Arabidopsis thaliana: one gene and its partners. The protein of the gene in region 1 interacts with the protein of each later gene in a pairwise test. Each region holds a gene or a part of one and is shown on either strand. Other genes may lie near its edges.

Region 1 (9,747 bases):
TTCTAGCACAAGGATATCAATCGGTGCAATTGGATACTATAATTGGGATTATTTAGAGATTCATCATCATCGGTGGTTTTTTTCTTTCTTTCTTCCTTTTAAAAGGCAAACTTAACCGATTAATGTGTCTCGTAGATTTTTTTAGCAGTGCTTAATTAGATGAAAATGTAATAAGCATAGCTTTTGATGATCTCAACTTTTGTATGCTGTAGTGGTGACCATGTGTTCATGTGTTTCTTATAGTGCAAAGTTTTTTTAATCTTATATATTTGCTTTCTATTATTGTCAATAATTTGGGGAATAAAGTTAATGATTTCTGTTGGCCATCTATACAAATAGAATGTGTGTATATATACACATACAAGCAAATTGCATAGCTAAATTTCAAATATCGTTTATTATTTACAACAGTACTATACTTTACAAACTACTATAACTGTTTTATTTCAAGTATCAAAATGATATAGTAATTCATTTACAAAATACTATTATATATGGGCAGTTTTTTATAAATATAACATAAATCATATTCTTTATTTATTGTTTCAAATGATTATACTTTTGTGTAATTTATTCAAAACACAATTTTTTTTTTGTTGAATGCGAAAACACAATTATGGTTGACGTTGATCAACGAAAAAAAAAATGGGATTGCCTACTTAACTTGTAAATTTCGTGACAATGAAGAAGTTCCGGCTATTGTTTATTGTAACTAGTTTTAATTTGTCGAAATTTTCAACAATAATTAATACTCCATAGTAGATATAAAAAAAATACTCGTACGTGGGGATGAGGTCAACGAGAGTCGAGACTCATCATGGGAGAATAATAAGAGTCCACGCGGCGAATCCATCACTACAAGAACACTAACAACTATCGATTAAAATAATAATTTACATAACACAGAACCAGATAAGTTATTGGTATTATAACATTATTCATTCATTCGTGAGCTTTATACTTTTGCTTAGAGGGAATCAAGAACAGCTAAGACAACCAGCTTGCCACTTTCTCTGTCTCTTTCCAATGTTCTTTTGTTTTTGGCCAAAGAAATAGATCAATACATCACAAAATTCTACTCATTATTTTGGATGATCCGCAAAATATTACATTTTTTTGTAACTTGATAATCGAATTTTGAGAGGAACAAAAAATTTAAGCTATATTGCATAAAACTTGGAATTATTCTTCTTCCTTTTGTTTTGTCAACTAAAACTTGGATTATTCAATCAGGGTGATAACGTAATAATCCTTATAATCTTTAACAAAAAGTAATATAATCTTAGTAGCAAGAAGGAAACATAAAATGATAAATCTGACACCACACCATGTTATGTTTCTTGTTCTTGAGCAGTAACCATTAACCAACCACAATCTCAAAAACACAAACTGAAGTAAATTTAACGCGTCATACATGTCTCTCAATAATGATCGTCTTCGTCTGCATCTTCGGCTTATTGGGTATTACTAATAGGCCTTATTGCAAATAAATGGACTTTAAAAATTAATATTGGGCCGGGCCATAAAAACCTGGTGAAAGGATTGAGTTTTGAGACCAAATTAACCTTGTGGCGAACCAAATCAAATAAAAAACAAAATCGTACCAAATTCCCGGTTATTTTACGCGGTGGTGTTCCTCTCTCGACAGAATCGGAGGTCTTCCGGCGATAAGGTTCGTGGGTTTTGCGTATCGTTTGTTGGGTACTCGCTGGGATTGTTGTTGCTGTTGTAGAATTGGATAATAGTGGGGAGTGCTGGAGCAATGTGATATCGACTTTCTTGATAAAACACAAGGGCTAGTTTAATTGCAGATATTCAATCAGCTCAATCTTTATCTTCTTCCTCATACCATTACTCAGAAACTACACAGAGATTCTTCTTCTGCAAAAAGTCTAGAGGCTTCACGAACTCAGATCCACTCTCCATCTCCTTGTATATATTAGTTGATTCAGACAAGAAGGATACTAAGTTGCAAGAATTAAGGTTTTAAGATTATAATTTGTTTCATGCAAGTTTTTGTGAAAGATTTTTTATGGAAGTTCATATATATATGTCAATACTAACTGAAAAAAGTATCAACTTAAAAGTAAAAACAAAATCTCCACAAATGGATTTGTTTTCTTAACAAAAAAAAAAAACAAATGGATTTGTTTTGCAGTTATAATGACACTATAAAATATTAAAAAAAACAGTAACAGAAGAAATCGGAAGCAGAAACAGCTTCAATCTCTCTCCGATCCGCTTGCTACTTAACTATTGACTGACTCTTAATGAAGCTTCAAAAAAACAAATTCTTTTGGACAGATTTTGTTATCAGAGAAGTCTTGAGTTGCCAGGAAAACAATAACTGCTAGGAATGTTGTGGAGAGGTGGCAGAGAAGATGTCTGTAGCAGACTGCTCGCATCATAGCTTGAAAACATGTCTTGAGAGAAGCTAATGTTACCGACCGCATTACCATAAGGGTTCTGGTTGAAATCAGAAGAGAATTCATGTGGAACCGTGTTTGAGAGATTAGGATGTTGTAGACCGTTGTTGTTGTTGATGATTTCACTCACCATACACATGTTCTGATCAAAACCATGAAGCTGATCCTGTTGCTGCATCAAGTGATTATTCAACCCGTAGTTATTCACTGCAGATGCTTGTACCGAAAGTAACGGTGAGTAGTCTTGTGTGTTTGACACGCCAGGATGTTCAAAGTTGTTGTTGGTGATGTTGTCCGAACACATGTTCTGACCAAAACCATGCTGCATCAAGTGATTCTGGTAATTGATGAGTTGATTGGAGTGTGGAGCAGACAGTGGGAGTTGTGAGAGAGTAGCATCTCCATGGTTGTACATAAACAGCGAGAACTTGCTAGGATTCAAGTGTTGGGTCTGGTTCAGATACGATGGTGTTAAACTCTGATGCACCAAGTTTGTGTTCTGTAGTTTCTGCGCCTCAACAATACGAAGCCTTTCTTGCAGAGTAGAAAGAGTCCGTTCTAAGGACTGAATCAATTGAGAGAGTTGTTGAGGAGAGTAATGATCAAAGTTTGGATACCAATTCTTCTTCAAATTCGTCTTCCCCTTGTCCTTGTCCTTCTCCTTCTCGAGGAACTCATGAAGATTGCGGCTCTTCTTGCGTTTTCTGGCCTCTTTATACCTCAAAGCCATGTCTTTCACTGTCTCTCTCTCCTTAGGCCATGTTCTCAGTTCACCGTCTGGTCCGTAATAGATGACGCAAACCTCAATAGCACAGAGAATCGAAAGCTCTTCAGCTTTCTTGAAGATGGTTTTAAGTCTATTTGTTAAACTTGTTGAATTACGTGACGAAGAAGAAGAAGAAGCTTGCTTCATCGTGACTTTGCCTTGATTCGGCAAGAAACTAGGGTTTTTTCCGAGAGAGAGAACACACGAAGAAGAAGTATTGTCGAATTGAGGGTGAAACATTGTGAACTCAATATGTTTATATAGATGCCTTGGTGCCTACGGGAACAAGCAAACGCGACGCGTCGTTGTTAATCGCGAGGCGTGAAGATCTACGCTCCTACGATTCGATTCGATTTCCAATATCTAATGTAGATTTCCTTAATTAATGTCTCGATGGTAGAGACCAAAAAAAAAGGAAACTTTTAATTAGTTTCTCGATGGTACTTTATTTTAGGCTGTACAAAATTAAGATCTAATTAAAAAAATACTATAGATTTGATTGTGTAATTATTAATTGTGCAACAAAAACTTGGAGGAAAAAGGAAAATCTGTCTCTAAGAAAAAAACTCTTAATTGTTAATTAAGGGTTTTCAAAAAATTGAAGAAAGATTTCAACTCATTTTATTTCTAGGTTTCTTCTATCTTTTTTTTTTTCTTTTTTTTTCAAATTTTTTTTTACGTTATAGTTGTTAATTAAGGGTTTTCAAAAATCTATAAATTGTTTCTCCAATCAGAATGTTGTGAAAAATAACTAACATAAAAACACTCTTCAAATAATTAAAACTAAATGTTCGAAGGGTATATATATACTCACTCTGTTTATTGCAAAATTACCACTGTAAACGCATCACAATTCATATTGTGGAAGATTAATTCTTGTTATATATGTATTAGCTAGTCAAGAAAATACACAATAATTGGGAATGTGGAAGTCGACAAATGTAGTAACCAGCTTGCCTTATTATAGACACAACAATATATATAATAGGGTACAATTAATGTCAGATTGATAACGACGATCCAATAGTGAACCACAAATCACGAATTTTCAACTCACAAATAGACTCGTTTCTTTGTTAGATGAAATGTACCAATCATATAAAACGACATTGTGATTGGCAATCACAAAGAAATATAAATTGTTTATGCCTCATTAAATATATTACTTGAATGGTAAAGTATTAAGATTTGTTTTGCGATCATGAAAGTTAACATTCTTATTTGTTGTGTATATCTCTGAACGTTCTTATTGGATTATGTTATGTGGGATCTGTTGCTGAAGTATCCCTTTAGATTCATTTCATAATCCAATTTTCTTTATTTGATAGTATATTTGATTGCAGTCAATAAATAAATAAACTCCCTATAGATTGTTTTCCATCAATTGTAAGAGTTTTTATTTCTATTTGTAACTGAGGTTTTGAGCAAAAAGTCCATGGTATAAAAAATACCCCTTAGTCAAACATGAGAGATTTCATGACGATATATAAAGCGTAAAATCGGGTAAAATATAAAGTTATAAACTAATTGTTGATCTTAGTATTAAGAATTTATTGCATTCGTTTCTTAATTTATTGCGTAAAATCGGGTTAAAATTAATCAAATGGTTGATCTCTTCAGAGCTAGGGCTTCATTTCTTACATAAACGTCGTGAAAATTTGATTATTAAAGTCCTCCAAAGATTAATAAATTAAAACAAACCAACAAGACCCCATTATAAATACACGCATAAACATTACTTTGTGTAAAAGATAACGTAGCCATTAACTTTTATGCATTAACTCCTTCATTTCTTTTTGTGCTCGTTTGGTTGAGAGAGAGAGAGGCTATATATGATGTTCCAACAAGATTACCCTCATGGCTTTTCACTCGTGGAAACATCCTTAAGTTACGAAATGTTGGATTACTTTCAAAACATCGTCGTTTCGAACTCTGAAGACGTGGCGTCACAGCAAAATTCCATTTCGTCCTCTTCTTATTCATCAGCGACACTCTCCTGCTCCATAACAGAGCAAAAATCTCACTTAACTGAAAAGTTATCTCCTCTACGAGAAAGATATGGTTGCGGTGACTTTCTGTCGCGGAAGAGGAGAAGGAGAAGTGAAAAAACGATTGTAGATAAAGAGAATCAAAGGATGAATCACATTGCCGTCGAGCGTAACCGGAGAAAACAGATGAATCATTTTCTGTCTATCCTCAAGTCTATGATGCCTCTCTCTTATTCTCAACCTGTGAGTTTCTTTCTATCTTTAATTTAGCTTATAGGATATAAGCAGGCTAAGCAATGTTGATAATTTGATATGTTCGGTTAAAATTTAGTTTAGACAAAGAGTGTTAAGGTTCCTTATTAAAAGTAAGCCGTTAATTAAATAATAGTAATTTAGTATATTTGTTTTTGAATCAATTACTAAATAAAATTGCGAATTGATAAATTTTTGGGTTTTTCCTATAATAGAATGACCAAGCATCAATCATAGAAGGGACCATTAGCTATCTGAAGAAGCTAGAACAACGTCTCCAATCTCTCGAAGCCCAATTAAAAGCTACTAAACTCAATCAATCACCAAATATATTTTCCGACTTCTTCATGTTCCCTCAATACTCCACCGCCACTGCCACTGCCACCGCCACTGCCTCCTCATCCTCCTCGAGCCACCACCATCACAAGCGACTAGAGGTGGTTGCTGACGTGGAGGTTACAATGGTAGAAAGACATGCCAACATTAAAGTGTTAACGAAGACACAGCCAAGATTGCTCTTCAAGATTATCAATGAGTTTAACTCTTTAGGTTTAAGTACTCTTCATCTCAACCTCACAACTTCCAAAGACATGTCTCTCTTCACTTTTAGCGTCAAGGTAATCTATTCTCTTCCTCTCTTGTTTTAGGGGAAAAAGATAATATATATGATTATAGAAGTTGTTAGTTAACATAAATTTATATGAAATAACTAAAATAAGGCTTCTTGTTTTAAAAGTCAACTATATATGCTCAAAATGATTGGTCTCTGTATTAGGTAGAGGCAGATTGTCAATTGACGCCTTCTGGTAATGAGGTCGCAAATACGGTGCATGAAGTCGTTAGAAGAGTTCACAAGGAACGTTGAATTTTGTTTACATACTAGCTAACTTTGAAATTCTATTTTATTGTATAAACAATCTCTTATGTGTGTAATTTACATATATACAATTAATTAACATTAAAGTTGTTTAGTTTTTTTTTTTTTTTTGTTGGTTTACTGAGTTAATAACATTGTGTTGACGTCTATTAAATTGAGGATATAAAATACAAGCATGATGAATTGATGAGTATATGTAATCAGTTGAGTTTTAAAAAAATATTTGTGTATTCTTTTATACACTAGTAAAATTTGGTTATATTCAAGAAACATCAGATATTTAATATTATGGAAGAGCTAATTTTAAGCGCAATATAATAAGATTCACACGATGGGCCTTCTCATTACAAGAAATGGGCCTTTGAAACATATCTCGTATTTAGATCAGTAAAACCGGACGCGGATGCGATTCAATTTTGCATAACCGGATCATTGTTCCTCGAGATTACTGAAAGCTCGTGTAGATTACGAAATACGAACGAGCCTCGTCTACAATTAAACGCTAGTATCGGTGACCGAAACATCTGAAAAAGCATGCCTTCATTGAGCGGCCCAACTTACAAAATTTCTCTAGTTTACATTATTCGGATGGGGTAAATGTCATTTTGAAATCAAAATTTCATAAGAAATCATGTAGCATAATAGTTTGATAAAAGTTTATGGTAGTGTTGTTGATGTGTGATATTATGGTTTAAATTTGACACATGTTTTTGAGTAATAATATTTGGTGGATTTTTAAAAAGCATTGGATAAAGGTGTTTGGTAATGTGACCTTTTTACCTGTTTAGCTACATATTTAAATAGATATTTTATATAAGGGGTGGTAAATTTCAGATTTTTGGTTTTTCGAAAATTATGTAACTGATCATTCATGTCGTGTGATCAATGTTTCTAGAAGACAAAAAAGAACATCAAGAATCTAGTGGAATTAGTTGCTTTCATAGGATAACCAGCTCATCAACCAAACTCTGTTTGTAAGATTATATAATTCTCAATTTAAAAGAAACACCAAACCTATTTTAGTTTATATTTTTCTATTCTAAGATTTTAGATGGGTACATACGAAATCATCATATTAGTTGTCACAATACAAATGACTAATCTTTACTAATATATACACATTTAACAAAAAGTCCCAACTCCAAATACCTTTTTTCTTTACTAATCCCACCTTGCTTTTATGCTCTTTCTTTTGTCAATTAAATATATATATATATATATATTATATTTTATTTTATTTTCTCAAAATGACTGTTAGATGTTTTCTCTGTATAATTGTATTGTTTGATTCAGAAACACTTAAAAGTATATATTATTTGTATAATTTTAATTTTTGTTATTAACTACAAAGTAAAACAGTTGGTAAAAAGGTTAGTGAGTAATTCAAACTGTGAAAAAGAAAGTCGATTTACTTGTAGAATTACAAAGTAATTGAACTTTTTTTTAATGTTTCTTATCTATTGTCAATATATCTATAAAAATACTACTGCCAGACTAAAATAATACATTTTGTAGTAAATGGGCAAGATCGTTACAGAGACAGACAGACAGCTATCTCATCAAAGCTTTGTCTCCTTTCCCATTACCCAATTTTAAAAATATTTTGCAGCGTGTGAATATCCTTTGTACACCACATACTCTTTTCACATATATAATATTAAATTACACTAAAATTTGTGTACAACTATTACCTATATGTATATATATGTCAGCATGCAGCAGCTAACGAAGCAAAAAACATGTATTAATCCGACTGTCTATATATGTAAGTAACTTGCGTTTAGAAAAAGAAAAATATGTATTAGGGACTTGCATTGCGTTTCTTAATCAGAATGTAATAAGTTAATAACAATGCTGAAACACATTGACACTAATTTTAAAAAATCTTTTCGGTTAGAGCAAATCAATTTGCATGGCCAACTACTGGACCGACTACTATTGCAACTTTTTTTTGTTTTGTATAGTATTTCGTTGCGTGTATCTGCAATATATATCACCCATGACCCATGTCTATATTTATTGTATTTAAACGAAGGTTGGTCCAGTGTATTAATACTGATTGATTATGACATTTTAATTGAAAATATCCCAAATATCAACTCTACTGTAGTCCGTAGAGAGACCTGAATCTCTAATTTACTGTTTTTTAACCATGCCATCAACCAATCCAATAAGAAAAACAGGAACAAAATACAAGTGAAAACGAAGTAGCAATTGCATAATTTGGGACTCCAGAAGTTTTTTTATTAATCCTATAGAATCAAATTTTTTTCGGAATCAAATTTTAACTTTAACTATTGTATCATTACGCTAACTATGAGAACATCTTATATTATTATATGATTTTTCAACTGTTAAATTTAAAAGTTGATCATTTTGTTAGTATATGTTTCAAAAAATTTAATTTTCAAAATTATGTCGTAGTATATGAAAAAGCAACGAGTGTTTTATATGATAAAGTAGAAACTAATGATTTTGAACTAATTTAATGAATCTTTAAAATCTATGCCGGCTCCTAAGTAGCCGAGCTGAAAACCCATGGCATTGTCATGATTCACGTCCTGGACCAAAGTCTCATGAGTAAACCGGTGTCTAACTCTAACCATTGTAAGCTATTTTGCATTTAATTACAAAGTTTAAAAAATCCCCCGAAATTCCTGAAATAACTCAAGATATCTCCAACACTTCCTCTAGGGTTATCCTGTCGTCTTATTTAAAACCCGGAGTTGGGGTGAGAAGCCATCTCTCTCCCTCTCTATCTCTCTCCCTCTCTATCTCTCTCTTACCAATTTCCATTTCTCGGGGGAAAATAATAATACGACTTTTGAAATCTCTCACTAATATTTCCCAAGAAAACCTGATGAATTAAAAGTTCATATTTTCTTGGTGTTGATTGGTATTAGATGACTATTTCTTAGTATTAGTCAATTCTCTGTTTCCATCTTATATGGATAGTCTAGACACAGAGCAAAGATCCTTCTTTGGAGAAAAAGAAGATGAGAGACGAGAGAGGATCGTTTCTTCACGTATTGGTCGTAGATAGATCTTAATCGATAACCATCTAGGCCTTGATCTAACCATTCAATATAAACTTTATTTCCTTCTTCTTTTCGATCTCAATTGTTCCGACCAAACAAGATGAAGAGATCACGTGGAAGCTCCGATTCTTTATCCGGTTTCTTACCAATTCGCCATTCTACAACAGGTAAAATAAGACTCTTGTAATATAAACTCTTATACAATTCTGAAACTGCAATTATGTTTGTTGATGATCATTAGAAAGATACTAATGAATTTTTTTATTATATGATTGTGTTTTATTAATTAACATTTTAAGTAAATATATGTTTTCTGACAATTCATACTATCGAGACGTTATCCTGACAAGGTTTTGTGATTACTCATGACATCATAAATATTCCATTATTTGATTGAAAC
Region 2 (9,952 bases), about 23 Mb from region 1:
TATATATATAGATCATTCTAGAAGGAAATAAACAGTAATGAAATTTTTTCGGATTACAGTGTTTTAGAATTCAACAGAGAGAGAATGTTGTAAATCTCCCAAGAACAAGACATGACTCCCCAGAGGAATCACTCTCTTCCCGACATCATTCGCTACGCTTAGCTGCTTGCAAGGATCGATTACGAACACTGTTTCCATCATTTCATTGGAACGAACATGAACACGATCATAACCAATCAGCTGCTTCTCCGGAACACCAGATAAAACCGGTGGCATTTTCGAAAACAGCATCACAACATGACTACCGTCGATTTCTCCGGTATTGCTCACATGAACACGAACGTTAAACCGCAGAGATTCGCAAGAGTTAACAATCACATCATCGAGCTGTAAGTATCGAAGTTCTTCTCCATGTTGTAGTTGTTTCTTGTGAGAAGACTGTTGTGGAAGAAGTTCCGATAAGCTAAGTCTGATTGGTGCTGATAAGATCTTGTACTCGAATTTCGTGTAGCTTAAACCGGTCCCAAAACTGTAAACTTGAGGTCCGGTATAGAATCTGTACGTTCTTCCTGGATATCCACGAGATGAATTGGCTCTCATGTGCATATCCGACATTGCCACATCCGTGAATGACTCCGGATACCACGTTGTCGGTAATCTACCACCTACACTTGAACCGAAACCAAAACCATATACAACCAAAAAGCTTTAGTATTCAGTTTCTGCATTTCATAAACTGGGATGAACAGAAGATGCTTTGATTTGCGATAGGCTAACCTGGATTGAAGTCTCCAAATATGATTTCAGCGAGTGCTTGTCCACCAGTTTCACCTGGATAACCAATCCAGATAATGCTTCCGATTCTCGGGTCATTTTTAGCAAACGTTACATCCACTGGTCCTCCACCGGTTAGAACAAGAATCACCGGTTTTTTGCTCACAGCAGCAACATGAGACACAAGATCTTTCTGTTTACCAGGCAAAGAAAGACTAACTCGATCCTTATCCTCGGTTTCTTGAGAGAGATCTAATCCTGCAACTACTATGACAAAATCCGCTCCCTTGGCGATGGCCACAGCTTCTCCAAATCCGGTATCAGAATCACAAGACACGTCTGAGCAACCAGACGCATAAGATGTCTTCTTCACATACTCCAGAAGTTCCGTGAACAAAGTCTTTCGTTGACACGGCTTTCCTTTACAAATATGACATTTATAAACTGTTTCAGCGAGGAGAAAAATTTAGCCTGCTTGAAAATAACAAGAAGATAGATAGTCCGAACCTGTATAAGTACCGCCCATATTGCTTATATTATTCGCCATTGGACCAACGATTGCTAATGAAGAAACATGGTTTTTGTTCAAAGGCAACAACTTGTGATCATTTTTCAGGAGCACGATACCCTGTCTTGTTGCTTCCAGTGCCAATTTTCTGTGGTCTGAGCTACAAATGTCATTTGATCCTAACTTTCCGTACTGTCCTCTTCTTGGATCACCATCAAAAAGTCCAAGACGAAGTTGAACAGCAAAGAGATTTAGCAGAGCTCGGTCTACTAGTTCTTCGCTCACCTTCCCCTGCTCAATCGCAGATTGTGTGTGCCGAAGCATGTATGTTCCACAATTTATATCCACCCCTATGAATTCACAATCTCAGATTTCATTTTAAGACAACCTATTTACAAGTTAACAAGTGTTAAAAGAACTCAAAAGGACCTGCTTTTATGGCATCAGCAACAGCTTCCTCAGGTGACTTGGTATATCCTTGGTACGCAAAAATAGTTGCCACAGCATCACAGTCTGATGTAATGTACCTGCACAGATACAAGAAAAAGACTCCCCGGTAAATCTTTCATTGGCCGAACCAAAGCATCACAAACAAAAATCAGGTTTTTCTCTCCTTCCCTGTTGAAGATTCACTTACCCTTCAAATCCCCACTCAACTCGAGCTTTTTGTAATAAGTCTCCTTGCGCACAAGCAGGGACCCCATTAACTGCATTATATGAACACATCAAGCAGCTAGCTTTACCATCTCTTATACAAGTCTCAAATGGGGGCTGATATGTGTCTTCCATGTCCTGTTCTGTGACCTACTAATACAGAGTAAGCTAGACTCAGTGTTCGACACAGAACCATGGAGATAATGCAAAAGCCAGAAGCAATATAACTAGTTAAATTCTGTTTCATGAACACCAAAGAAAGGTGCATTCAATAAAGTCTATAGATTTAATTCTATTTTAGGTCAAACCTGATCCACTAAACCTGAGAGTTCTCAATTAAAATCCAATTGAAGTTGATACACAAGCTACACATAGTGAAGAAAAGAGTTCTTAGTCTTACCACAGCATTGAAGTCGTATCTAGTGAAATTCCCCCATTTTTCCAAATCATAGGCAGTGAAATGCTTACAACAAGCAGATAACATGAGCTTCCCATCAGCATCATCATCATGACGATCATCATCAACATCATCACTAAATCTTCTTTTCAAAACCTTCCTTTTCTTCTTCTCTTGAAACCCTCTAACGAACTCAACTCCATACTCGGAAACTACCTTCGGATCCTCACCAGGAGTCTCCTGTCCTCTTCCCCATCTCGGATCCCTAAACACATTTATATTCGGAGCCCAAAACGTCAACCCAGCTTGACCACCGTTGTACATAGCCCGACCTTCCACCGCAACAGCAGATCCAATCTCGTACCATAGCGTTCTATTGAAAGATGCAGCAGATACGATTACCTGAGGAAAACTAGTAGCGGCGGAGATCGAACCGTTGAAGGAAACTCCGGGACCGTTATCGGCGAGTCCGTGTAAAGACTCCGACCACCACTCGTACGGAGGAATACCGAGACGGGGTACTGAAGCAGCTGTGTTTGAGAGCTGACCTATCTTCTCTGGGAGCATGAGGAGGGAGACGAGAGAAATTGCTCGTTGTTTTATGGATAAAGAGACATTGCAGAAGGGATAAGAGCTAAAATGAGGAGGTTTACAAGGGAACTGTGGATGAGAATCGAGGTTTTTGAAGGTTTCAGCTATGGCGGAAGTGAAGAAGAGTAAGGAGATTAGAGTCAACTGAAGATTCATATTTTGGAGGAAAATAAATCTGTAGAGAAGAGTGAAAAAGGAAACTAAAAGGTATAGTTTTAAACCGAACTAAATAGACCGGTAAAATCTAAATTAACAGTTGGACCGGTTGGTTCACTGCTGTTTCTTGTTACTTGTCATTTGACGGACGGTAGAGGGGCCAAATCATTATGGGCCTTTATCTAATCGATTTATAGTAATTAATTAAGATCAGTGAACATTTATGAATTGGGGCTTTATCTAATCAAGGTCTACAATTTTTGTAGACTAATGCTTGAATAATTTTACTTTTACAAATGGGTGGGTTTCAAGTGTCTCTAGCTAGTTGACAAAAGAAAACATTAAATTTTATTTTAAAAAAATTAAAAATGATAGTATTTTAAAATTGTATATAAATTTTTTATTCACAAGGATTTAAAAATATTAATTGTAAATAACAAAAATTTTAAAACCACCAAATTTTATGTATTGTAGTTATATTAAAAGTCAGAATTATTTACTTTGGTGTAAAACTCTCTAAAATAAATGAACCGAAAACTCAAAACCCAATATTGAAACTTAACTAACAACCCCAAAATTTTCAAATATGCATCCATAGTGGCTTAGTCATGGTCACATAGCACATAATGGCTGAAGCTTATTCACGTGTTTCATCTTTTCTTATCCCTGCTTCTGCTTGCATGCATTCACCTTGAAAATTGTGTCATTTTTTTCTTATGGTTGTTACTTTATTTTATTTACTAAACCTTTGTCAACCCAACTGTTGATCCCTGGTTTTAGTTAAACCAACAATTATTAGGATAAACACATACTTTTTAAAAAAAGTCAATGGGTATCCAAGAATGATTAGTTTAGAAATTTAAATATATGAAATTTTGTTAATTTTCAATTTAAATGTTGAGAAATGAAAACAATGAATTGTCAAAGAAAAGCAACTTATATAATGCAGACAATAATGATATCCGATTGAGTAGTAAATAATGGAGTGAAGATAGAGTAGGAGACAGTGTGTGTCCACAAACTCTCACGCAACTCGCTTCTGATATAAGAAACAAATTTCTTTGACTTAAGCCTTCTTCGATCTCTTTGACCTGTCAGTCTTTTCTTTTTCCATATTAATACAATCATACACTGATACACCACAATGTAATAATTTGCGGAATTATGTCTATTAGAAGAGACACGGGTGTTTATTTTTTCCCGTAATTGATCGATATCGTCGGATACGAGTACTTTTGAAATGGCAAAAACTCACAATAATATATATCTATTCAAGATTTTTCCATGTTATTAACGTTCAGTGCCAAAAGCCTATCCAATAATAATAATAAAAAAGCAAATATGATGGCAGCTTCTCAATCTCGAAATCTAGACCATTATCTCTTACTTTTGTAAGCATCTGATTATTCATATTTGATATTTCTAATATTAAATACCATTCGTATCATATACATAAGTTGACTAAGGAAGAGAGCTAGATGATGATGTTCATTCATTTTGGCCGGGACATACTTTGTGGGTCAGATCATTTTTCCGATCAAAGAGAACGTATAAATTACTTAATATCGTCACTGAAAACGAACCATCAATAATAATACGATTCAGACAACAACACAAAAGAAAACGATATTAAGTAAAAAAAAAATTTCATCAATCTCAGCTTATGCCTCATAGGTTGGTGCTGGACCATGGATCAAAAACAAACACACTAAATTGTAATGTTTTCTAGTGGATCTCTCCTTAAACAACTAGACAAAACTACTTATTTGTATATATATTTTTAACTATTAAAATCCACTTTTTATGTAACAAACAAGTCATAAATATACATATGTCAAATGGAATAAAGTAATTCTAATCAGTTAAAAAGTGAATTCTTCATTACAATTCACACTTATGTAATGCATTTACATGCATTTGTATCTTCTTTGACCCCAAGCTCACAAACTCTGTTCACTTCCACTTTCACAAATAACAGAGTTTCAGAAAATAGAGAGAAAGAGAGATGGAAACGGAATTGACGCAATTGAGAAAACAAGAAAGCAACAATCTCAACGGCGTTAATGGAGGATTCATGGCGATTGACCAATTCGTCCCAAATGATTGGAACTTCGATTACCTCTGTTTCAACAATCTTCTCCAAGAAGACGACAACATTGATCATCCTTCTTCTTCTTCTTTGATGAATCTAATTTCTCAGCCACCTCCATTGCTTCATCAACCACCACAACCGTCGTCACCTCTTTATGATTCTCCGCCGCTCTCCTCCGCTTTCGACTATCCTTTTCTCGAGGATATCATACACTCCTCTTATTCTCCTCCTCCATTGATCCTTCCGGCTTCGCAAGAGAACACCAACAATTACTCACCATTGATGGAGGAAAGCAAGAGCTTCATAAGCATCGGAGAGACTAACAAGAAAAGGAGTAACAAGAAGCTTGAAGGTCAGCCTTCGAAGAATCTTATGGCGGAGAGACGGCGGAGGAAACGGTTAAATGACCGACTCTCCCTGCTCCGATCCATTGTCCCTAAAATCACCAAGGTCAAATTCCATAAACCTCATCCTTGTCACATGTTATATGGTTTTTATTTTTAAGTCAAGAAGAAATATTCTTCCTTTTTTGTTAAGTTCTTAACGTTACATGTATGTTTTCTTCTTGTTGAAATCTTTTTTTTGGTACACTGTTCACTGATAAAAGGTTATTGCTTTTTGTGAATCTGCATAGAGTTTGTTGTATGAGAAAATGTATATAATTTTTGATGATTATTATATAATAAAATCAGATGGATAGGACATCGATACTAGGAGATGCAATAGATTACATGAAGGAGCTTTTGGACAAGATTAACAAGTTGCAAGAAGACGAACAAGAACTTGGAAGCAACTCTCATCTAAGCACCCTCATTACAAACGAATCTATGGTCAGAAACTCCCTAAAGGTAAAAGCTAAAAACAAAACATAATGTTATTATGGTATTTGTGCTTCAGTACTCATAAGTCTTGTGTTTTTACAAATTCATCCCATTACAAATCATTTGTTACAAACACCCTCATCATATACTTGAATCAATTTGATTCCCATTAGATATCACTCAAAAAATTATAATCACTTGAAGGTGCAGACAATTTTTCTGGCTATAACGAAAACGAATCTTTTGCAGTTTGAAGTAGATCAAAGGGAAGTTAATACGCATATTGATATATGTTGTCCTACGAAACCGGGTTTGGTTGTATCAACGGTTAGTACATTGGAGACTCTAGGATTAGAGATTGAACAATGTGTCATTAGCTGCTTCAGTGACTTCTCATTGCAGGCTTCTTGTTTTGAGGTACAAATATTATTACACTTTGATTTAGCCTTACTTGGTGCATCGACAAATTAAATGTATATTCTATAATTATTTTCTGTTATATTCTGTTTTTTTCGTATATATGTAGGTTGGTGAGCAGAGATACATGGTTACTTCGGAAGCTACTAAACAAGCACTAATCAGAAACGCAGGTTATGGAGGAAGATGTCTGTAGGGGAGCTTCAAAATTGCAATGTTTTTTAATGATGATAATATTTTCCGGTTCTTCTTATTCTCTTGTGATGAGTATGATATTTCATAAGGAGATAGATAAATGGGAAAATCAAAGGTGTAAAAAGAACTCATTGATGTTTACCAATTAGTCTCCTCGACTGACCCCTCGGTTTCTAATCCGACTCATTAATAAAACATGCAAAATAGAGAGAGCAGAAATGTTAAAAAGAGTTTTCATTTGGGCCCAATAAGCCCTGTTATACTAAAGCCCAAATAAAGTCCACTAAAATTCTGCCAGCTTTTTGACCTAACGAGCTCCATCCGTTTCCTCTTTAAATAGCTGCGTCTAACTTTGAACCCTAATCAAGTTATCCGAGAATCGGCCACTCAAAGCTTATTATCAATCTATATAGTTCGATAGATCTCTGTGCTAATTTTTTTTCTTGCGATTTGTTTTTATGGTTTATGTGTTTTGGTGGTTTTTTTAATGTCAATCGGGACTGGAGTTTGACTCTTTAGCAAAATAACGATGCCATAGAGATGAATGCAGCGCCCTAAATAAAAAAGACCACAATCGGAGATCTATCTCAGTTCTGTCCGAAATCGATTCCCTCGATATTGGACGCTGAGATAGTTCTCACATGTTTTAATCTCTGCTTGTTTTTATTTGATTTTATGAATGATTATGATATGATTCGTAATGGGAGCGGTGATTCAGGCAACCTACTTGTTAATAAAACAATGACATGAGAGGTGTTTAACTGCTCCTAGATCAAATTATGCTTCTGCTCTTCAGACTTGCTGAGATTTTATCGTCTTTGAAGCTGGTCTAGTAGTCTTAAGCACATTCTTTCAATCTATATGGCTATTCCACTTTATCCGTCCCAATTCTGATGTGTTTACAGAAACCAGATCTTGTCTGATTGTGTTTCGTCCGGTTTATTTCGGATTCCTAAAGAAGAAGGGTTTCGATTGCACCTAGGCCCATTTCTACCGTCTATAGTTATTGTCATTGGTCTACTGGACATGAAAAATTATATTAATGGATATGACATGTCTATTTTACTAATTAGAGGAAAATATCTAATGTATCTGCACAATCCTACATAACATACCAGGCGATTGTGTTATGAAAATAAGATCTTTCAAAAGGGACAAATTTCTGTAAGAACGTCGTGTTATGTTATAAAAAAAGAAATTTTATTTTCCCTTGATTCCTATAAAAAAAAGAAATTACATAAGGGTTGATTACACATAGGCCCATTTCAAGCCTTTCTAGTGATGGGTCACTCGACATGAAAAAAGATTAATGGACTTTATAGGTCTAACCGCAGTCGTTGTAATTCTTGAACATAATAAGATTATCAGAGGATTTATTTTGATCCAAAATTTGTTTTTATACCTAACTTATCCTATATTCTATATGTTTAATGGTTTATAAAACATAGTTTGATAGTTTGATATGGTTATGCGTAAATTTTGAATAAAGTTTTATTGTCACCATTCAAACTTAAAATAATACAAAACTCATATAATAAAAAAAGGTAAAGACTGTAGACTAAAAAGAAAATAAGATAAAGTTTTTTTTTATAAAGACACCGCCACTGAAAACCTTAATTCATTTGGTAGAAAAAAAACAAGTTTTAAAATTTTGTCCACTTATCAAAAGAAATTTTTATTTTAAGTTTAAAACATAACTTTATAATAAAGACACAATTTGTTTTTGTTTTTGTAACTATTTATTCTGATTTAAAAATATTATAAACGAGAAACCAGATCAAAATAGCAGATAAAACAGGACTCTTTCATTCGTCTTCATTTTTAACACACAAATCTTAAATCACTTCTTTACGCCGACAAAATAAAAATAATCACATCTTACATATACAAATGTAAAATAGAATTTTTAATAGTAATCTGTAAGCAAGCAGGTGAATAATCATATAGAAACAAATCAATCTTAAGACAAAAATGTAATTATTTTTCTATTAAAATGAACGGTGAACCCAAAAAGTATGCACAATTAACTAAAAAGGAAAAATATGGGTAGGTTAGAGCACTAGAGGTTTGTGCGAGTAGGTTAGGTTTCGAAGTTTATACACTAAAATATATGGTCGAATGTGGACCTCACAATTTCTATTTGCTGACGAGAGCTTCCTTATTTGTTATTATACTCATATAAGATGAGCTGTTTAATAAGTTAATAAATCATAATTAAAGCAATCGTGTAAAAGATTAAGACATGTGAGTGCTTCATTTCTTTGCCGTAGTGTTGTTGTTAGTTAGTTATTGGGTCGCACGAAGCCACCACCCTCTCTCTCTCTTTTTCTTTGTCCCCAAAGAAGACAAATCTTTAAACGATTGGTTTAGGCCGTGAATACTGTTTTTAATTGTTGTTTTTTCTTATAGTGCAGATACTGTATTTAATTACGTATGTGTTAAATTTAAGTATTGGCACGATAAGAAACTTATTCAATTTCATTATTAATTAGACTATAAACTTGACTGGGGTCTAATTTTGTTTGTTAGTATCGTCAACAAAAATATTGTATATTAATTTCTTTTACCAAAATTATATATAAAAGAAAATTTCAACAACAAGCATGACCGTGTTGTAATACTCAAGAGTTAAATTCTGAGAGTCTTAATTAAAAACAAAACAAATGAAATGATGAATTGTATGTACATATATATATTCTGGTTTAAGGAATGTATGTACTTGGTGGATTATTAAATAGAGTTGTATAACTTTAAAAGTAAAACGTCAGATATAGCGTGCGGAATATATATACTATAAGCATCCGATAGATAAGTCGATTCATGCATGAATCACAAAAACTACACCCATTTAGAAATACAGTTAGGTATTTTATCACATGGAAAATTACAAGATAGTTCAATACTACTATTCCACAATCTTATAATTTGTTTCTCCATGAGTAGGCCTAGCTATCCATGAGCATCTATTCTGGCCAGGTTTTAAAAATGGGTGCCTAGTTTTCTAGTACTAAAATATACTACAATTTTATCAAGAAGAATCATCAAGATTTATTGGAACATTCCCTGAATTTTTGGGGGTCATGTAGGTTACTTTCTTTATTCGAATAAGCATGCACATGTTTTATAAATTGTGATGCGTATTTTGGCAAAAGTTTTCCGCAGCCCAAATAAAATCACTAGACCAAACTCGAATAAACTGCATGTATACATAGATGTTGAATTGAACTCTTAGAGATTCAAATTTACAATCGGTTTCTAATTAATTACGCTTCCAACTACGTTTTTGATCTGTCTTATTCAAAAATCAGATAGGGTTTTTAGACACTTCGTTACGGCTCCTTGGTTTT
Region 3 (12,291 bases), on another chromosome or scaffold:
ATATTTTACGCTTAGAAATAGCAGACATGAATGTAATGATCATAAAAGAAAGAGGTTAGAGAGATTCATAGAGTCATACAACAAATACTAGTTCTTTAGAGCGAATTGTGAAGAGTCATCATATCTGGCTAAGAATATCGAACCCGTGGAAGAAATTATCACAAAGGATTCTACTTTCTACCTCATCAACTTATCCCCAAATCTCTCGATCACAAATCCAAGAGATTCATACAATGGTATCAATCCTTGATACTTTCCTGCAACTGTTGAGCAAACTCTGACCCTCAACTCTCAAGAAGCTACCTGTCCTTGTCATGTCAGTCTTAGATCTGCGAGATCAAAGCCTTCAAAGACTGATGGTTTACTTGCGGGTACCTACAGGAGCAAACACTGGAAGTTGGTTTGAGGTAGTGTCTCTTTTGAATCTAGCTTCCCGAGGCAGTGTTAATGTCATTCGGTCTTGTCCCTCTCTTCCCGAGTCTCCATCGTGTCTTAGGCCATCTCTATTTGGGATATTTACTAGGGGGCCTCCAAAGAATATTGATTCACCTGTATACATCAGTCTCTCTCCTTGCTGCTGCTGCGTAGGAGGTGGAGCCCTTCCAGATGAAGAATCTTGAGGCGGATGACCAACGGGTCTTGGATTCTGAGTGTTACCCATGTGTGAGCTAGGAATTGGCTGGTTCTGTGAGGAGAATCTGGTTCTTGGCTCAGATGTTGTTGCAGGAACTGATATATATCTACCTGCTTCTTGGTCCCAAACAACTGATGTTCTTCTCACATCTCTCAGAAGAGAAGCAGCAGGAGCAGGGAGAAGCAGTGGATCTGCATGGTTTCCTTTCTGCATTATCTTTTCATCAAAGGTTGAGTGGATCATGTGATTAGTTGCTTGATTAAGAGGTGGCCGGGAAGAATTCGACGCGGCCGCTGCAGTGAAGCGGTGGCCAGCTGTATGATGCTGAGGGAGAGGACTAAGTGTGACGGTCTCATGAACATGACTTGGACTGCTGAGACTGCTCATACTATGGGTCCCTGTGTCGTACTCGTCCCGACTACCTTGGCTTGGAGCATAAGAGTTTCTACAATGAGACAACATTGGATCATTGTTTCTTATCTCTCTACTCAGCGTAGCTCCATTTGCTTCTGTGCTTACACTGCTTACAACACTGATGGTGCCACTTCTGGAACTAAGTTCATCATCATGTAAATGACGATTTTCTATTGGTCTTAGGACAGATGAGGATGCTCTGGCTCTGGCTGCTGCTCTTGTAGCTTCATTTGAATTCAGTTTTGCAAGCTTCCAAGCACTAATTTTGACAGGTCTCTTTGGAATCTTGTTGCCCCTCTCTGCTGTTTCAGCTGCATCTGGATCTACGGTTGATGGAACCATCCGAGGATCCAAATGAGGAATCACTTCGTCCTGTAACATAGATAACAAGTATCAAGCGGACATATCAATAACTAAACAGAGACCCAGTGGAAGCTCTACGAAAATTGTTCTATTTAGGGTTCATGGAAAGCAAATAATACCTGATAATCAACAAACACTCTAGGAGGAGTGCACCATGCTCCTTTGTATGGTAGACCGAGGGAGCTTCCACCACTAAAGCCGGTCGTGGCAGATCCAGAGGGAGAATACAGCACGTTAGGAATTTCCTCATCAATCGAAGCTCCAGCTGGTGCCTCGCTCATTGCTCTCATTGCCACAACATATTCATAAGTTGTAATGCCCTATTAGTGTTAAACAGGAAAAAAAATGAGTTCACGTTGCTTTGAACATGCGATCAGCCCAATTACAAACGAAGTAGAGGACATTTATTATATACAACATCCTCTAAGCAGTGAGACGGTTTAGACGAATGTAACATATGGTCTCAATCATGATTCATGAAGGGAAACCAAATTCTATTCTCACAAAGAGCATGCGTTTTCATGTGCTACTCAATTATTTTGGGAATAATGTTGACTATAAGATTAAAATAACAATGAATGTTTTGTATACCGTCTTAGTACCAGTAAAGCGAATACATTACAAACATATAAAAGCATATTGACTTCTTCCATACTCACCTTTTTAATGAGGAGCATGTGGAAAAAGAAAAGTTCACCTAATGGAAACAATGCCAGCATGGAAACAGCAGTACAGAGACCCTGCATAAATTGTAAGAAAACATCAGGATTCAGGAAAATCAACAATAGATGCTCACCCTTACACTAAGAATACTTACAACAACTGTGGCAAAAGGTGCCCGAGAAAATCCATTTCCAAGTCTATTGACGATTTCTGTTTCCATGTCCTTCTTATTAACAAATACACGCACTATAACTGCAATTCCAACTCCTGCTTCTATAAGGAGCTGAGAAAGAGAAAGATTTATTGATTACTGGTAAGCAAAAAGTGAGCTTGAGAAAAGGCATATCAGGAGAATATACGTACCCAGAGAAGACTGACAGCCATCAGCGATATAAAAGTCATATAATTCTTGCGACCAACACAATTGTTAAGCCACTGTTGCATTTAAATACAGCTATGTCATTTGATCACACCCATAAAACTCTAGTCAATCAACTCCAAGAAACAGTTAATTATCATAACAGTAAGAAATTTACCCGGCAATGATGATCGAAACAATCTACACATTTGTCGCAACTTCGACAATGCTTGCTAAACTTACGGACCTGTCACAAAACCAAGGTGAACAAAGGATTTAGTAGTTGCTTCTTACTCTTCAAGCATAAACCAATATTAACACATTACCTCAGCATTGCACAACGTGCAAAACAGAGCTTCTTCCCTATCCCCTTGCTGCTCATCCGTCTCTTCTTTGCTACGACAATCTTCATAAACAAACACGCCACAGCATATTGCCAACGGATTAAAGCAAGATTTTCTTTTAGCAGCTTCCACTCTTTGAGCATCTCCAACAGAACCTTTCACACTAGAGTTTGGTAAAGTAGAAGTCCTGGAAGCAACCGAAGGGGAAGACTGCAGGTGGCTGCCCGTTTCATCAAATTTTCTCGAGATATCTTTGGCAGTAGGTAAGTCACCACCTCTACTCGCACCTCTTTCGAATTTCGACATGATTCCTGGATCAGCAGGATTGATTGCAGTACAACGAACATAAAGAACGAAAACAATAAGAGCCTGCAAAACAAACACATGACACAAGAAGCAAAAGGGTATCAGATATGCAAAACTACCATGTACCTACCTAGCTCTTATCAATTCCTTATCATTCTCTAAAGCGATTCTAGTACATACCACAGGAGAGTAAACACCGAGAAGAATATACTCCCAGATGCGTCCTCCAACAAAAGGAGCGAAAAACGCATAGTATGCTACACTCAATAAGCAGAACACCGTAATCGCAACCACCTGTTTCATGACCAAACGAAACAAATGAACTAAAACCCAAATGTTAGAAATTGGAGAAAATCAGAGAAAGGTTGAAATAAAAGACCTGAAATTTGTGAGCAGGAAGTTGCCAACCATGTTTCCTCACCATTTTTGCTTCCTCCCAAAGCTTGAACACACTCACGAATCACAAAATCTAAACGAAACCCTAACGCCGCCGCAAATCGTAAAAAGAGACAATTTTGCTTGCAGTTTTGCGAAACCCAGAAGGATATAAGAGAAACCAAGCTGAGAAAATATCTTCTTGGTCTTCGTATCTCTCCCTATCTAACTAACTATGGTAGGTCAGTCATAGTCAAGTGACGAAAGAGGAAAGTAAACTCCTGTAATATATTAAATTGAAAATAAAAGAAAAATAACGAATGTGAAATTAGAGATGACCTAAGCGAATTCAAAGTTAGCAAATTTAGAGTCGAATAGCGAAGAAAAAGCTTACTGTGTAGCCATGGCGGAGACCAAAGTAACTGGAGAAGGAAGAAGAGAGAGAGAAATGGAAGAAGGAATAAAAGAGAGAATTTTTAGAAGAAAGAAAAAAGACAAAATAGAAAAGCGTTGACAGGCTAAAAGAGCGAGACGGACAAATGAAAGTGGTTACTGGTTACTATTAGTACCAACGCTGGATTTTTAGCTTACGTGTCTATTTCACCTCTTTGATATTTTCTTTTTTTCCGTAGCAAATTTTAATTATTTTTAAATTATATAACCATTATTAATGATAATATGGTAGCTTAAAGTATTAATTAAATAATATAATTTTTATATAATATTAAAAAGTTCTCAGTAATACTTAAATATATATATATTAGAAAGTTATTTAATGTCTAAATTTCAGATTTTTAGAAGAATTTAGCCAAATTAAATCAAATATTAAAAGATTTTGCTGTTTAAAAAGGAATTAAATCAAAAAATATTAAATGAATTAAAAACAATTATCTTCCACTCCACATAAAAAAAAAGATATGTGAGTAGAAAAGAAAAAAAATATTAAAAGATAAGATGCAAACCCTGCATTTGTAACTCCATAACTAAATCTAAAAGCAAGTGACTCAGAGCACAACTCTCGTACAATTTGCCCTACAGTTTTATTTATATTTGGTGGCAAATGTCAGCTCTGTTTTGATGTGAAAGCCATCAACATCATGTAATTGATTAGCATATTACATATAGAATATGAGATACCCACATATATATAGAAAAAATGACGGTAAAGATTAAAAAAAAAAGTATACTTGATTTGTCATAATAAGAATAAGCATGTATCTCATATGTACAAAAATAGATTTAATGTTATTTATTTTAATATTCTTGTATTTTTTGTTTTATTTGAACTTATAATAAAAAAAAAACTGTAGATATTAATAGTTATGTAAAAATCATAAAAATAGATGTAAAAATCATATTAAAAGTTATGATAAATTTAGTTTACTACATAACTCTTTTGAAAAATGTGGAAAAATTATAGTAAACTGTATGAAAAGAAGATTATCATACAGTTAAAATTAAAATCTTTTAGAACATGTGTAGTGGTGGTTTCTAACCAAAGTTTTTAATTTACTAAAGTAATAATAATAAAAAAAATATTTAATTTGAAGAGTTTTTTAAAATAGTTTTTTCAAATCTTTTAAATTAAAAACTTTCTCATATTTTCTTAGAAATTGTTTTAATTAAAAAAATATTGTTTATTATTTTATTATTATTAATGTAGGCGAGAGATTTTGGTAAAAAATCACAATGCTGATGCTTTTAAAATAATCAATTTTTCTAAGAATACATAAATCAGCAATGCTTCTCACACGCCAAACGTAAATATAGACGCGATTATGAAAAAAAATCGCGTCGAAAACAAACGTCATTATGTCATTACACGTGTTACCAATCAAAAAGCCTTTATGTTTAATTAGTAAAGGCTAGTAAGAGATTTACAACAAATGAAAAAAATAAAAATAAAAACATAATCCAAGATCCCTAAAAATTCCCAAAAAGAACCCTAGATTTTCTCCTCTCACGCTCCTTGGTTCCTCACTCGCTTTTGCTTCCCCACTCGCCTGCTTCGTGTTCTTCTTTGCTTTGCTCTTTTCACGTCAGAATTTTGCCTTCCCTCCCTTTGTCTCTCTCTGGGTGGCCGAGAAAATACAGTAAAAAGCCCTCACCAATCCAAAAGTTTGACATTTCCTGAATTTTGTAGTCTCTTCATTTGAATTCTCAGGTTTTCTCTTAAGATACATTAAAGTCTCTGTCTTTTATGCTGATACTAATGAAAGTTCAGTTCTTTCACTGAAATTTTAGAACCAGAACTTTTCTACTACTAGAAGTATGTTGTCTCTGACTCTCTTAGTTTGAGTTCTCAGGTCTCCTTCTCTTATTTGTGTGAAATTTTACTCTTTTTTGGCTTTAGAAACAGAACTTTTCTACTATTAGAAGTTATGTTGTTGAAAGTTCTTCACTTTCATTTGATTCCATTGATTTCATATTGCTTTGTGTGTTTCAAGTTTGATGTTTTTAGGTAGAAGATGTCGCGCTGGTTCTTATGAAGTTTGGTTGTGACATTTTTCAGGTGCTAAGGTGGATTATCTAGTAGAAAGATTTCAGTTTCCAATTTCATGGAAGCCCATAGTGGGGTAGTTGCTTTTGAGTGTGTTAGTGAATCCATATGTGGCTAAGGTTAGGATGGATTTGCAAGAGAATCTGGTTAGTGATGCAGGGGATGACCATATGGTTGACATTGTAGTTGAACCGCATAGTAACAGAGATATAGGAATTGTTGATGAGTTCAATATAGGTGGAGATGTTGGATTTAGTGGTGATCTGGATCTTGAGCCACGAAATGGTATAGACTTTGATACCCATGAGGCAGCGTATATCTTTTATCAGGAATATGCAAAATCTATGGGTTTTACTACGTCGATTAAAAACAGTAGACGTTCCAAGAAAACTAAAGACTTCATTGATGCTAAGTTTGCTTGTTCCAGATATGGTGTGACTCCTGAGTCTGAGAGTAGTGGTAGTAGTAGTCGAAGGTCAACTGTGAAAAAAACAGATTGCAAGGCTAGTATGCATGTGAAGAGAAGACCAGATGGGAAATGGATCATTCATGAGTTTGTAAAGGATCACAATCACGAACTTTTACCTGCCCTTGCTTATCATTTCCGGATTCAGAGGAATGTCAAGTTAGCTGAGAAGAATAATATCGACATTCTGCATGCGGTTAGTGAACGGACCAAAAAAATGTATGTTGAAATGTCGAGACAATCTGGCGGATATAAGAATATCGGGTCTCTTCTTCAGACCGATGTCAGCAGTCAGGTTGATAAGGGTAGGTATCTAGCTTTGGAAGAAGGAGATTCTCAAGTACTGCTTGAGTACTTCAAGCGTATCAAGAAAGAAAACCCTAAATTCTTTTATGCTATAGACCTGAACGAGGACCAACGTTTAAGAAATCTGTTTTGGGCTGATGCCAAGAGCAGAGATGACTATTTGAGTTTCAATGATGTTGTATCCTTTGATACTACTTATGTCAAGTTTAACGATAAGTTGCCACTAGCTTTATTTATTGGGGTGAACCATCACTCCCAACCTATGTTACTAGGCTGTGCATTGGTTGCTGATGAGTCTATGGAGACTTTTGTGTGGCTGATAAAAACATGGCTACGAGCAATGGGTGGTCGAGCTCCTAAAGTTATACTCACTGACCAAGATAAATTCTTGATGTCTGCTGTTTCAGAGCTCCTACCAAACACTCGTCATTGCTTTGCGTTATGGCATGTTTTAGAAAAGATTCCTGAATATTTCTCACATGTGATGAAACGGCACGAGAATTTCTTACTGAAATTCAACAAATGCATTTTCAGATCTTGGACAGATGATGAGTTTGATATGAGGTGGTGGAAAATGGTCAGCCAGTTTGGACTTGAGAATGATGAATGGCTGCTATGGTTGCATGAACATCGCCAAAAGTGGGTGCCCACATTTATGAGCGATGTGTTTCTGGCAGGCATGTCGACATCTCAACGTTCAGAAAGTGTGAACTCTTTCTTCGATAAGTACATCCATAAGAAAATCACGCTGAAAGAGTTCTTGAGGCAATACGGTGTGATTCTGCAGAATAGGTACGAAGAGGAATCTGTTGCAGATTTCGATACTTGCCACAAGCAACCTGCATTGAAGTCCCCCTCGCCCTGGGAGAAGCAAATGGCAACAACTTACACCCACACAATATTTAAGAAATTTCAAGTCGAGGTCTTGGGGGTTGTCGCTTGCCATCCTAGAAAGGAAAAAGAAGATGAAAATATGGCGACGTTTAGAGTTCAAGACTGTGAAAAAGACGATGACTTTCTTGTAACGTGGAGCAAAACTAAGTCAGAACTTTGCTGCTTCTGTCGTATGTTTGAATACAAAGGGTTTCTTTGTCGGCATGCTTTGATGATTCTGCAGATGTGTGGTTTCGCCAGCATCCCGCCTCAGTATATATTGAAAAGGTGGACAAAAGATGCTAAGAGTGGAGTATTAGCTGGTGAAGGAGCAGACCAGATACAGACCCGAGTTCAGCGCTATAACGATTTGTGTAGTCGAGCCACTGAATTGAGTGAGGAAGGTTGTGTGTCAGAAGAAAACTACAACATCGCATTGCGCACACTAGTCGAGACCCTGAAAAATTGTGTTGATATGAATAATGCTAGAAACAACATCACTGAGTCTAATAGCCAGCTTAATAATGGTACTCACGAAGAAGAAAACCAGGTAATGGCTGGGGTAAAAGCAACAAAAAAGAAGACTGTATATAGGAAAAGAAAGGTATGCTTTTACTGAAGCTTCTCGCCAATCTAAACCTACGTACATTTTCTTAGCTTCAAAGGTTAAAAAGAAGATACTCAAATTGATCTTATGCAGGGACAACAAGAGGCTAGCCAAATGCTTGAATCTCAACAGAGCTTGCAACCAATGGTTTGTGCTTTGATTTGATCTTCTCTAATTAGTTTGATCATTGTAACTGCACATTGCTTTATGAGATTAAGAGTAGGATGTCTTGGATATATGGCCTTATAGTTTTAACATTTTGTGCAGGAAACTATAAGTTCAGAGGCGATGGACATGAATGGTTACTATGGTCCTCAACAGAACGTTCAAGGACTGGTATGCTATGTTAGTTGATTAATACAAACCTGGTTAAGCCATTCGACATCTATTATAAACCCTAATACTAAACCTGTTTAAACTGTGGATATAGTTAAATTTAATGGAGCCACCTCATGAAGGCTACTATGTAGATCAACGAACCATCCAAGGCCTGGTAGGTTACATATAGTTTAAATGCTTGAATCTCCCAAATCTGTGCTAGAGTATAAGTCAACGACATGAATTTTGGTTCTTTTGACTCTTCAGGGACAACTGAATTCGATAGCACCGGCGCAGGATAGCTTCTTCACGAATCAGCAAGCCATGTCTGGGATGGTGGTACATTATAAAATCCTTCAAACTGATTTTAAAAACTGTGTTATGAATGATCGTGTTGTTAACATCTTTTGTTTATTGTCCGGTCCAGGGTCAAATCGATTTCAGACCTCCTCCCAATTTCACTTACACTTTACAGGTCTCAGCTGCCTGGATAAAGTCTTTACTTTAGTATCATTTTGTACTCGAACCACACGTGTTGATATCGTTAAATCTTTTCGTTATTCCAGGAAGAGCATTTGAGTTCTGCCCAATTACCTGGTAGTTCATCAAGGCAGCTATAGTAGCAACACGTTTTGATTACTTTGGAGAGAAGTTTTGTCTCAGGAAACATTTGCAAGAAGCTGTTCCAAACATGAGAAAAACACAAGATCTTTCATGGAGCTGAGTTGCAATGACAAGATGTAATCTTTTCTTAAATTGGTTTCTGTATATTATGGGATTGCCTTATGATGTATTAATGTGGGATGAAATATTGTGTTATCTGATTGAATGTCTTGAGATTTAATAGATGCACTTGTAACAACATCTTTATCTAAACACATAGAAATCTATCCTCTGTGTATTAGTCAAACAAGTAATTTTGAGATCACATTAAATCAAAATTGTTAAAACAGGTTTCAACTTATTTAGTAGAAACAAAAAGTTATTTTTAGATTAAATGTGGTTAATTTGGTTAAATACACATTCCCTGGTCGTTGTCGTATGTAGGTGTGTCCCTTTTGACAAAACAAACAAACAGAAAAGGTTTCTTTATTCAGACAACATCAAAACTGGGGAAGAACCAAAACTAATAGAGTTGGTCAAAAGAAACATTTGCAAAAAAAAAAAAAGAGAGGCAAAGATCTCGAGAGATTTCAATTTTCAATGGAGAAAGTGAATCAAACCTTCTTCTTATCTCATGGATCTCCAACTTTGAGCATAGATGATTCCTTGGAAGCGAGACAATTCTTCAAATCATGGACTCAAAAAGTTCTTCCTCAAAAACCCAAATCGATTTTAGTCATCTCTGCTCATTGGGACACCAAATTCCCATCTGTCAACACTGTTCTTCGCAATAACACGATCCACGATTTCTCTGGCTTCCCTGATCCTATGTACAAGGTAAAACCAAAAAAAATATAACTTTTTGTCTCAACAGATTTTTAGGGCTCTTAGATCGTTGAAGGATGCATAAAGTTTTGATTTTTAAATGTTTAAATCATCTCTCTTGGGTTTGATTTGATATTTTTGTCTGTAGTTGAAATATGAAGCACCAGGAGCAATTGAATTAGGGAAAAGGGTTAAAGAGTTGTTAATGAAAGAAGGAGGAATGAAACGTGTTGATGAAGATACAAAGAGAGGACTTGATCATGGAGCTTGGGTTCCTCTTATGTTGATGTATCCAGAAGCTGATATACCCATTTGTCAACTCTCTGTTCAATCAAATCAAAATGGGAGTTATCATTACAACATGGGTAAAGCATTGGCTTCATTGAAAGATGAAGGTGTTCTTATCATTGGCTCTGGAAGTGCTACTCATAACTTGAGGAAGCTTGACTTTAATATCACTGATGGCTCACCCGTTCCTTGGGCCTTGGAGTTTGATCATTGGCTTAGAGATTCTCTACTTCAAGGAAGGTTAGAAAGTTTTAACCTTTTTGCTGCTTGGTTATATGATAAGATCATTGATTTGTTTCATGTGTTTTTTTAGGTATGGAGATGTGAATGAGTGGGAAGAGAAAGCTCCGAATGCGAAAATGGCGCATCCGTGGCCCGAGCATTTGTATCCGTTACATGTTGTGATGGGTGCAGCAGGTGGAGATGCAAAGGCAGAGCAAATCCATACAAGTTGGCAACTTGGTACCTTGTCTTATTCTTCTTATAGCTTCACTTCTTCTCTTTGAAACATTTCAATCTTCATCTCCTATACTTGTCTTTGATTAAGCTTTTGTGTGTGTGTGTTCATGTCTCTTTAATTAATAATCCAAATCCTGTCTTGTATACGAATACAAATCCTCTATGTACTATAATATATGAATGTCATGTGAATTTCAATAAATTGTGTTGTTTGTAATGTACGTAGAACCATTTGTCATATCTCTGTGTTAGCTTTGTGATATCTACGTTTTTAACATAAACCCTTAAATCATCAACCTCCATGGCCGAACAAATCATATTTCCATCAGATGTTTTGAATACTATCTTGTATCGACACCATCGTTGGCATTTGTTGCAAATAGGTCGACTGAGACGATTGTTAGGAATACTCAACCGTATGGACACAGTCTTCGATAATTGTTCTTGATTTTATGTAGGGATCCTTTCCTAGTATACATTTAATATGGAATGTGACTCCACACTCATAGCATGCATAGTAGCCTTTTCTTCGGATCTGTTGTTTTCTCACAAACTTGGCACCAATAAAGACCAGTAGACCACTTGCATTTTTCTCATAACAAAGGGTGAGAATATGGTCATCATCGTCATGCTTAACTTTGTAAGGAAGAGTGGCACAACGAAAGCATAAAGAAAAATCACATTCCGCATAACTTAAACTTCTAATATAACATAATTTTGTTTGACATATTGAACACGCTTGCGCAGTTACTCGTTCATAGATTAATGATATAGGAAACTAGGCATTGATATATGGTTAGATACGTGGAATACATGAGTGGAGACAGTAGCTGTGAGACGTGGCAAGAGAAGATTGGTCGATGGGAGTGTTAGAGGAAGAATCGAGATGCAGAGATATATAGCTAATGAAGATCATTTGCAGAAGATAAGAAGATTTTGGATTTGTTGTTTATAGTTTCCTTTTGGATTCTCTCTGAGAATCGTTCCTCATCGTTCGCCGGAGTTTCATGTTGAACTCTTGTAGATGAGAAGTTGATATCGCGTTTCATGAACGTTGTATCAATCTGTCATTTTCATTAATCGAAGCATTCTATTTCGTTACTCTGTTTTCCGTTATCACTGGTATCAGAGCCAATCGTGTCCTCGGTGGAGATCAAAGCTACTTGCACGATGAAGAGTCGTCGGCGCATATCGTGGGAAGAGATAAACGAGAGCTGGTTGAATGGCTTATGTGTGTTTTGCAAAGAGCCAGAAGCTCCTGATCACCACCTGAAACACAAGAACTTAGGGCTTCTTATGATCTATGGTAATGACGATCATCTCTCTAATGGTGGAATTGGTGAATCAATTGATCATCGTTCAATGAATTTGGTACATGAGGAACGAGAGGAGCACTCCAAGTTGGATAATCACAAAGATTTAGTACAGAGAACTATCATGGAGGAACGAGAGGAGCACTCCAATTCTGAGATTCTGAAAAGTGTTGAACCTAGGGAAGTAAATTTCGGGTTGGAAAATCTTGATTCTGTGGTGATGAACGAGTATCAGGAGCAAGATTGGGTTAAACAGAACATGAATAAGAGGTTTGA

Evidence for each region.
Region 2: the proteins of AT5G65320 (region 1) and AT5G10570 interact in a two-hybrid assay, tested with the Arabidopsis thaliana proteins (one large-scale study listed by BioGRID).
Region 3: the proteins of AT5G65320 (region 1) and FAR1 interact in a two-hybrid assay, tested with the Arabidopsis thaliana proteins (one large-scale study listed by BioGRID).

Annotation. Positions count from the first base shown.
Region 1 is NC_003076.8:26,103,918-26,113,664, reverse strand, and holds AT5G65320 (basic helix-loop-helix (bHLH) DNA-binding superfamily protein), read left to right. Parts: upstream 1-4,938; 5' UTR 4,939-5,024; coding exon 5,025-5,423; intron 5,424-5,647; coding exon 5,648-6,049; coding exon of another isoform or gene 6,050-6,079; exon of another isoform or gene 6,080-6,087; intron 6,088-6,207; coding exon 6,208-6,297; 3' UTR 6,298-6,496; downstream 6,497-9,747. Other genes in the region: AGL78 (AGAMOUS-like 78), read right to left, coding at 2,314-3,339; HB5 (homeobox protein 5), read left to right, coding at 9,448-9,514.
Region 2 is NC_003076.8:3,336,272-3,346,223, forward strand, and holds AT5G10570 (basic helix-loop-helix (bHLH) DNA-binding superfamily protein), read left to right. Parts: upstream 1-4,928; 5' UTR 4,929-5,085; coding exon 5,086-5,622; intron 5,623-5,864; coding exon 5,865-6,020; intron 6,021-6,242; coding exon 6,243-6,410; intron 6,411-6,519; coding exon 6,520-6,606; 3' UTR 6,607-6,808; downstream 6,809-9,952. Other genes in the region: AT5G10560 (Glycosyl hydrolase family protein), read right to left, coding at 64-665, 778-1,194, 1,282-1,632, 1,712-1,809, 1,920-2,086, 2,337-3,080.
Region 3 is NC_003075.7:8,608,724-8,621,014, forward strand, and holds FAR1 (FRS (FAR1 Related Sequences) transcription factor family), read left to right. Parts: upstream 1-5,336; 5' UTR 5,337-5,550; exon of another isoform or gene 5,551-5,969; 5' UTR 5,970-6,082; coding exon 6,083-8,206; intron 8,207-8,302; coding exon 8,303-8,356; intron 8,357-8,476; coding exon 8,477-8,545; intron 8,546-8,639; coding exon 8,640-8,702; intron 8,703-8,794; coding exon 8,795-8,866; intron 8,867-8,954; coding exon 8,955-9,002; intron 9,003-9,093; coding exon 9,094-9,147; 3' UTR 9,148-9,447; downstream 9,448-12,291. Other genes in the region: AT4G15080 (DHHC-type zinc finger family protein), read right to left, coding at 362-1,420, 1,531-1,731, 2,071-2,151, 2,229-2,357, 2,438-2,509, 2,611-2,679, 2,759-3,145, 3,263-3,376 and 1 more; catalytic LigB subunit of aromatic ring-opening dioxygenase family, read left to right, coding at 9,731-9,967, 10,104-10,483, 10,557-10,749; AT4G15096 (uncharacterized protein), read left to right, coding at 11,873-12,291. UniProt on the Arabidopsis thaliana protein: Transcription activator that recognizes and binds to the DNA consensus sequence 5'-CACGCGC-3'. Activates the expression of FHY1 and FHL involved in light responses. Positive regulator of chlorophyll biosynthesis via the activation of HEMB1 gene expression.